2 linked regions of the Daphnia pulex genome follow. The main gene of each other region encodes a partner of the protein of the gene in region 2 in a complex. Links are inferred from orthologs where the notes say so. Each region holds a gene or a part of one and is shown on either strand. Other genes may lie near its edges.

Region 1 (4,430 bases), about 1.6 Mb from region 2:
CATGTACATGATGGGTCAGTTCCAAGGACTCGAAAAAGAATGGGACGATCCATTTGTCAACAGTATGATCACCAAAGTAATTAAAATCATGGTTGGAAGTTTCATCGAGCTCATGGACCTGCCGAGCTCCGACAGAGAAGAGTTCACCTTCGCCAATATTATGACCGTAATGGAATATTCCTTGGAACATCATGTGAAGCTGGACTACTATATCGGAAACGAATGGACTGGTGGAGTCGAATGGTTGATTATCGACCAGATCGACATTTTGACTGAACTCCTTCCAACACTGAATGAACAAGAACTTCACCGATTCAAGCGGACTCTCTACAATTTCATTGGAGACGACTACAGATTTAAAATAGTCGAAAAGGGCAATCTCCTCCATCTTGCCTGCTGCTCCTACACAATTATAACGAAACTCTTTCCCCTAAACGTCATGAAATTGTTACTGGAACTCGGAGTCGACCCAAGTGCCACCTCGTCCAACGGAATGACGGCCCTTCACGTGCTGGCCAGTATTGAATGGGAGCGCTGGTCGATCAACACCATAGACGCCATCCAGTTACAGTTGTTGGACTCGGATGCTCATATCGACCAGCCCGATGATGTGGGCATAACACCTTTGGACCTCTTTAAACTAAAGGAAAAAGAACTGGCTGAAAACGGGATCTCAAATGTTTACCTTGGGGCCGTTCACATATGACGTCACGGACTTTTTGACGATTTTACACCCCCCCCCCTCCCCCCTTTGTCACAATTCATCACAGTAGGTATACCCCCCCTCTAATATGACGTCACAAAGTCAGATACCCCCCTCCCTTTTTAAAAATTGTTTGAGCCCCTAAAAATTCTTTATTTTCTGTATTTTCTGTAGTTTTTAATACAGAACACAATGTTGTTCATTATTTTCTTAATTGGTCAAGCAAACGAGGTGCTTTGCTCTAACGATCCAAAAAACTAAAAGAAATTTAGGAAGTTGCCAACATATCCCACTTGGTGGCGCTTGTGTAGTGCCTTGTGACGTCCCACTGTGAATACCCCCCCTACCCCCCCTCGTCACAATTCGTCATACAAGGTGCACCCCCCTCCCCCCCCTCGGCCCGTGACGTCATATGTGAACGGCCCCCTTCAAAGACTGATTCATAAAGTGCGGCCCCTCACATGTTTAGCTGCCCAAGTCGTGAGCCGTCATGGAATCCCATTCGACGACCTGCCGTCCAGTTTAATTTCGTTTGTCAACCGTCACTCATTCTTAAATTGGAATAATTGATTGGAATGTAATGCAAATTGTCTTGGTTAAATCATCATTAATAAACTTGTTTTCTGATCAATTTCTTGTGTTAATTTTTTGCGTGTAAAAGGGGAGAGAATGGACGACCTTCGGGAATGACGAGGTTGATTTAAATTTCTTCGGTTGAACGGAATAGAAATATTTGCGGTGGACTTTCGCTTTTCTGTCTTCCGCCAAAGTTAAAGGATTGGTTCTTCATCGTTAACCGCTAGATGGCATATACCTCCTTTCTTCTCGCTACTTCCACAGAAAAAATGTAGTTTCAAGTTTTGAACGTGAACGCTAACGATATCATTGAAAATCGGCTTGTCGACTTTTTTACCAATTAGACAGATACCAAATAAGATTTATACAAGAAAGTAAGGATAACTTATTCTTGAAATGGCATTTTCTAGTGGAAGTCTTTTCCAACCAGCCCAGTCTACTACATCCAACACAGGTAATACACACAAACTAGTGTCAACTCCAGCATTACTATATATTTGAATGATAATTATCTAAGTGAAATCATTTTGCCTTCGTTGTTGAACATGCTACAATGCATGGCTTTTTCATTTATTTTCTGTTTATTAGTTTTTCTTGAGATTACATTTTCTAGTCCAACCAAATGCTGCAATCATTTTTGTTCAAGCACAACACTGATTGAGAATTGTTCATTATTTTATCATAGAAATAGGAGATAACAAATAAAATTTTATAGAATTAAACTTATGTGTTGCAATGCATTTGACTCATTTTCACTTCTAGGAGGGCTGTTTGGAGGTACTGGTCAGACTGGTACTACTCCATTTGGAGGCTTTGGTGTGCAGCAAGTTAGCACAGCAAATCAGTCCTTTTCATTTGGAACTCCTCAAAATTCTGCTTCAACATCAGGATTTGGCTCTCAACAAACTAACACCACTGCAACAGTACCTTCTTTTGGTTTTGGCAGTACCCAACCTACTTCAGGTGCTCCAGCGTTTGGATTTGGTACCACCCAAACTAGCACAGCTGCTCCATCGTTTGGATTTGGTGCAACACAAACAAATACCACTACACCTGCTTTCGGATTCGGTGGAACTAATACTGGTGGAGCTCCATCATTCAGCTTTGGGCAGCCACAGACAAGCAACGCTGGATTCGGTTTTGGCACTGGAGCCCCTGCTGTCTCATCGTCGTCCGGACTTTTTTCTGGAACAGGTAATATTTTTTTATGGAATGACTTGGAACGAATTATTTGACTACTTTTCTGTATTAGGATTTGGATCTTTTGGAACATCTCTGGGAGGAACCGGGATAACAACACCAGCTTCTAGTAGCTTTTCTTTGGGAACTACATTTGGAAGTACAGCCCCAACAACAGGCCTGTTTGGTCAACAACAACAACAAACGTTTGCTCCTGCTCAGCAAGCCGGTACTGTTGTCGAATCTGTTCTCTCATCCGTACTTTACTGTAACATTTACGGTGATGAGCGCGATGCAATCTTGGCTCGTTGGAATCTCCTTCAAGCAGCTTGGGGAACCGGAAAAGGTTTGACTCCACCTTAATTGCGGTTCAATTTAAATATTAGAATGTCTTCATTTTACTCACATTGTTATTGGTGTCTAGGATTTTACTCTGGCACGGCTAGTGCTATCCAATATACTGCAGAGAATTCATTGTGTCGCTTTAAAGCCATTGGCTACAGCAAACTACCACAAGGAAAGAATGAAGATGGAATAATTGTTTTGCTGTTTAACAAACCCGAAACAGATATTCGGTAGATAAAATTATAAAAACCGTAATTGCATATAGATTTATTTATGGATTCAATTTGCAGGCGAGACCAAGCTCAGTTAGTCAGTGTGATAACTACGGCGCTGGGCAATAAACCCAATCTGAATGTGTCCGTCGAGGGCGTGTCTGGCCTAGACACAAATAAGACAGAGGTTTTGATTTGTGTTCAAGAACGCTCAGCAACTGGCGCAATTCATAAAGTGCCTGCCATTGAATTGTCTAACTTCCTTTGGAATCAACAACCATCTGGGATGATGCAGTCGGCTCGTGGTCAGCTCAGCGCACTTGGAGTCGTTTCGTGTGTTCCTAGAGTCCGACCATCACCCGAACAATTGCGCGAATATCTAGCATCGCCTCCAGCTGGGATTGACGCTCGCATTTGGAAACAAGCTCAATCAGAAAATCCTGATCACGATAACTTCATACCCATACCACTGATCGGATTTGGTGACCTTGTTCGTCATTTACACCTACAGGTTCGCATTTCTATATTTAACTTATTCACACTACGCAAATAGTTGAGTTGAAAAAAATAAATCATTGCAGGAGAAAGAGACTCGACGACACCAAGGAACCCTGGACAAGTTAGCTGAGGAATTAGCAAGCCTGCAATCTCGTGCATCAGAAACATCGGTTGCGCTAAGTGAACAGCGACGACGATACATCGACTTGCAACATCGAATCCTCAAAGTTCTTATAAAGCAAGAATGTTCTCGGAAAGAAGGTTTTGCTCTACAGCCAGAAGAGGAACGTTTGCGGGTGCAGCTAGAGTCTGTGCACAATGAACTAAGCATCCCTACGCAATTTCGAGTAACATATATATTTTTCTAATTAAATGTTAAGTTTATAGAATAATGTTTTACACTGTCAACATCAGGGTCGCTTAAACGAATTGCTTTCGCAAATAAGAATGCGCCAATCTGCCTTTACGCCAGCGGAACGAATGACTGAGAGGTACAACATTGAACCAAATGTTTTGGATGATCTGAAACAAGTAAGGAAGTTGTCACAATTTTTAAAGTTAATTTGTTAGCTTTGTCTCATTTTGAATGATCTCGTTCCTATAGGTCCTTAAGTCACAGCAAGAAGGAATGGCTCAGTTAATGAATGTATTGAAAGAAGATTTTAATGATTTGCTTGTTTTAGATAATGCTTTGAAACACTAAAATAGCGACCGAAAATATTCTTCATCAACTAAGTACGAATTTTACTGTTTTCAAGGGTCTAATACACGGAAAAAAAATTTCATTAAAAAAAAATCTTTAGATTCATATCATAATTGAAAATTAGTAGATCGTATTTGATTTTTTACTTTCGTAAGAATATTAGCCAATTTCTCGTACTCGTACTCGTTTATTAGATAATATAGCGTGTTACAAT
Region 2 (4,587 bases):
CCTACCAGGAAAAAAAAAGCAAGCATTAAGAACAAGTTTTCTTAAAACTTAATTATGATTTACCAGACGGTAATTCAATGTAGGAGTCCTGAAAATCATCCACACTGGGTTCGTAATTCGAGAGCAATTTTAAAAATAGCTTTACACAGGCATTTCCAATCTACAAAACGAAGTCAATGTTAAGACTTTGTTTTACAACTTTTTAAACCTAAACGAACAAACCTGCCATTTTTCCGTTTCATTGCGGTACGCCCTACCACTAAATTTCAGGAAAACGGAATCTTTAACGTAGAATAAGTAGGGATCAAATCCAGGCGTTCTATGTCCAGTTCCCAAGTTGGTTGGGATGGATATATCAGTCATCACGTCCAGTAATTTAAGAAAGGCTCTTGTGAGGGGGTATTCTTCAGCTCGAGACTCAACATCTTCCAATTCCGTGTGGAGACCTAATATTCAACCCTTTTTTTGTTTTTTACTGGGCAGGAAATTAATATAGAATTATCTTCATGCACAAACCTTTGACATTTGTTGAAACTATGCTTGTAGTTGACAAAATCTGAGCTATTTCAATGCTGTTCCACAGTGTATATGCGATGTCAGGTGACTGGGCGAAAGCTGCAAGAACCTCCATGATCTCTCCCTTCAAACTCAATGGCACAGCACAGCCTACAATTTAGAAGATGTATTTTTCGGGTTCATTCGATAGCTATTTGCTTTTACTTACCTAAGAGTCCGATCATCACGACTAATGGTATCCATGTTGGATTCTCGGCCAAAGATATCCTGGCAACAGGGTCATGTTGGAGAACGATTCGCATTAACTTCAAAACGACCTGCAATCCCTGAACCTCCTGTGGTGTAATGCCTTTTGTGAGGGGCTTGTGGCGGTAGATGGTGTCCGGTACAGGGAGCGACTCTTGGCGCAAACTGTTAAAATATCTGTGGAGTGATGAGAAAAAGTGTTCCCAAGAGATCAAATTGCTTTGACCGCCGTTGCTGTTTTGTTTCAGAAGGGTAAAGGCTTGGTGAGCTGCCCTCTTTCCATTTGCCAATCCGCAAAGCATGCTGGCATAAGAAATGTAGAGAGAAGGCGGTAGCAAATCCCCGGCCAAACGAATAAACTTATATAGGGCCATTTGTCGCTGAGAGACTCTGCATTAAAAAGGCGATAAGTTTTTATTTTTATTTCAAAATAAACAATAACCATATACCTGTAGTTTACTCCAGCATTGGCCATGTCACTAGACCAAAATTCAAGACACAGTTCCAGCTCTAGAGGATCCTCTCCGTACAGAACGGCGATAAAGTTAAGCAACCATTGAAAATCCAGCGGCAGGTTTGAAGGTGGCTCAAGGCCCTCTTGCTGATAGACAAAGATGTTACGTGCAACTTCATCGGCCTTATTACGAAGATCTTTGATTTTCAGGGGCATTTGAACAATTAGATCCGTCACAAGTGAATGTAATCGCCGTAAGTAAAACTCCTCTTTGTAGATATGATTTTTGGTTTGTAGTAGATGACTGAGAAAATTCAAAGCTTTTCCCTCTAACGCGACGTCTAGGATGGCTTCGTCTTCGTCAACCTGCATTTGAATTGGAGCGCAAAGTCCAGATGAAAGCGAACGGAAAGTAGCCAAAGTCACTGCCCAGGCAAGTTGAACTGAAGCTTGAAGGCCAATGTTCTTCCAAGGAAGTGGTTCTGTCAGACGCTTTTGAATAGTCGCAACAAATGCACTTTCCGAAGTGATGGGTAACAACCGGACGACGTCTTCACTTTCTTCAGTTCTAACGATACCGCTGATATCAATAGCATACAAAAGAGCCATGAAAAGAGTGACGTTGACGTTATCGACTTGTTCGACAGATGAAAGGTAATTCACTAGCAGCAGTGTATCGTCCCTACACAGTCCATTTTGAGCAGCCAAACAAAATACAATGTCCGCTAACGACTGCCTTATTTCAGTGAAGAAATCATGAACTTGTCTAAAATAAAAAACACAAAAAATTAAAAGAAAGAAATATTAATCTTAATTGTAAACAAACCTTCTGTGTTTTGGTCCACCGAGAGCTCGGTTTTCGTGGAGCAAATTGATTTCCTTTTCAAGGTTCAGTTGACTTAACAGGGCTATGATTTGATCTACCAAACCTTTTTTCACCAATTTAACGGTGTACTCTGTTATTAAGTCAACAACTTGTTCGCTGGTGTCTACAGCCCATGAAATTCCTTTCCTTGCTTGGATGAGAATTTTTAATGAATTGACAATGGCACGTCTAGCATCATAGTACAGCAGTACTGAAATCAAACCCCTGGTTAATTCTGGATAGTAATGCATTTGCTGTTCTGCTGTGTGTAAAAGTTCAACAGCAACATTTTCGTTTAGATTAAACATATCAGAGATAATGAGTGCTTCATCCACAAACGATTGTTCAAGTGAAGCAGTCGTCTTTCTTCCAGGGAAAAGAACAGGTTCTTTGACAGATTTTAGGAGAAGGTTTCTGTCATCGAGATTTTTTGCCTGAAAATGAATTTGACTTGAGCTTAGAACACAGATTTAATCTGATTCATGAAATTACCGGCTGTTTAAGAAGGGCAGAGAAATCTGAACGGTGATTTTTCAATGCTTTCTCCAGATTGTCTAGGCTGTTGCATTGCTGGTTATTAATTGTGTCTTCAACCAGACTGTGGAGGTCCTTAGACTTGGTCCACATCTTTTGATTTTAAAACTTGTGACAGTTCAACCAAAAGTAAAGCTTATTTCACTAAAAAAACCTAATAACCACAAGGGCAAAAGCTGAACGTATTCGAAACTTGGACTTCGAATTCGTCTGTGGGGAATTGTCGTGTGATAATTTTTCGTACCGGTAGTCGGTAGATGATGCCAACGCCACCTACCATCACAGCGCCATCTATTCAAAGTAAATTCCCGCCAGTAAGAAAATTGAAACAATTGCGTTGAAATTGAAACACGATTACCGCCAAAAACCCATTTATCTATCTATTCAATATTCGTCCATGGATTTATTGTTTTCTCAAAATAGGGTGTGGATATTTGAAAAATAAAGTAAAAACGAATCAGCTTATTTTAAGAATGATCAGACGGTTTGTAATCAAAAGAGTAACAAGTAATATTTACAAATGAACTGCAAATTATCCTGTACACATTATCTTGTCCACAACAGTCACGTATAACACGCACAAGAAAAAAGATTGAAAAAAAAGACCGACCACACACGAAAATGAAAAATAATAATTAATCGACAAGCACAAAAAAGTTGTTCCCTTTTATCATTATACAAAAAAGCAATGCTCTCAGCTGCTTTTTTTTGTTGTGGAGGAGTGGTGGTGGAGTTGGAGCAGAAGGAAATACGGGAAAAGTTCAGTTTCGCTCGAGAAAACATTATAAAGATGACATCGCTTTTTTTTCAGAATTTAATGACGCCCAATTTGGGAGACCGAGTCCAACGCGTCATCTCGATACAAAATAGAATAATAGCACTGAGAATTTGTTTTTTTTTTGTTGTTTTCACCTGTACAAATTACACTAATGTCATCCAACTGACTTGATAATACAGACGCACACTTACGAAGACACGATGCGCTGTGCCACAAGTTGCCATAGACGAACACTCACACTCACTCACACATACAAAGTCGATTCTAGCAGAATTTTTCTTATAAGATAATTTTTACTTTTTAAAAAATTTTCAGTGTTCAAACAAGGTAAATGAGGAAAATATGAAGGAAGATCAGGGCGAGAATAGAGGTTTTTTTCCTTTCAATGACACGCATTCACGCACACACAAAAAAGAACTGTTGACGGTTTGATTGTGGCAAAAAATTCAAAAAAAAAAAAAAGAAACACAATAATCATAAGAGTTGGGTAGGTTGAAGTGAGGAGACGGACGTTTAGGAACGGTGGTGTCCACCTATTTGGGTATGTTTTCCTTGTTACATTTATTTACAGGATTCGCATATTGGGGCTCAAAATAAAGAAATGAAATCCAATCGTCAATCGCACTGCGAAGAGAGAAAAAGATATAAGGGAGGGGAGGAAATCGTAGGATTGAGCATTTTAATTTTTTTTATTTCAAAACCTCCCAAGTTTTTATTTCCTCAAATTCGAAGAACGGTGGTTTTGTTTATCGCCAGTCGTTGCCTCCTAGACGCTTTCACCATATGTATATCTTTATAAGGTCAAAAAACACATCCAATCTTTGATGCTCTCCATAACTCGTCGTTGTGGAGTCTACTTTCTAGACTGATTTGAGATCCTGAAAAAAAAATGTCGTTCGTGATCCACAGAAAAACACCTCTTTGCCGCTTGTGTGTGCCCCGTAAAGATTTTACATGCATGTGTGATGGGAATTTGTCCACTTTCTTTTTTCGCCATTTGAGAGAAAGGAGAAGTTTTGGTAGTGTGGTTAGGACAGAAGCGGCGGGGTCGGGATGAACGCCTTCCAAAAGATTCTGCCAACTAACTTGCTATTGCTTGGCTCGCAGTCAAGGTCACTTAAGAATGTATAACAAACGGAGAAGAACTCAAAACAAAACAAGAGGAAGCTCCTAATACTGAATACCCAAGCTTTT

The links.
Region 1: nuclear pore complex protein Nup205-like (region 2) and nuclear pore complex protein Nup54-like share a complex: the UniProt entries of both Drosophila melanogaster proteins name them as parts of the nuclear pore complex. The link is inferred for Daphnia pulex from reciprocal best matches to the Drosophila melanogaster genes Nup205 and Nup54.

Annotation. Positions count from the first base shown.
Region 1 is NC_060022.1:6,652,514-6,656,943, reverse strand, and holds the start of nuclear pore complex protein Nup54-like, read left to right. Parts: upstream 1-1,504; 5' UTR 1,505-1,675; coding exon 1,676-1,733; intron 1,734-2,041; coding exon 2,042-2,473; intron 2,474-2,531; coding exon 2,532-2,804; intron 2,805-2,882; coding exon 2,883-3,033; intron 3,034-3,093; coding exon 3,094-3,526; intron 3,527-3,596; coding exon 3,597-3,860; intron 3,861-3,927; coding exon 3,928-4,044; intron 4,045-4,117; coding exon 4,118-4,216; 3' UTR 4,217-4,430. UniProt on the Drosophila melanogaster protein: Component of the nuclear pore complex (NPC), a complex required for the trafficking across the nuclear envelope. Essential for the nuclear import of nuclear localization signal (NLS)-containing proteins in an importin alpha/importin beta-dependent manner.
Region 2 is NC_060022.1:5,063,028-5,067,614, forward strand, and holds the start of nuclear pore complex protein Nup205-like, read right to left. Parts: upstream 2,889-4,587; 5' UTR 2,709-2,888; coding exon 2,574-2,708; intron 2,516-2,573; coding exon 2,043-2,515; intron 1,983-2,042; coding exon 1,212-1,982; intron 1,153-1,211; coding exon 725-1,152; intron 667-724; coding exon 517-666; intron 447-516; coding exon 223-446; intron 161-222; coding exon 64-160; intron 2-63; coding exon 1-1. UniProt on the Drosophila melanogaster protein: Plays a role in the nuclear pore complex (NPC) assembly and maintenance, but with limited role in NPC permeability. Required for specific nuclear import pathways such as Mad import.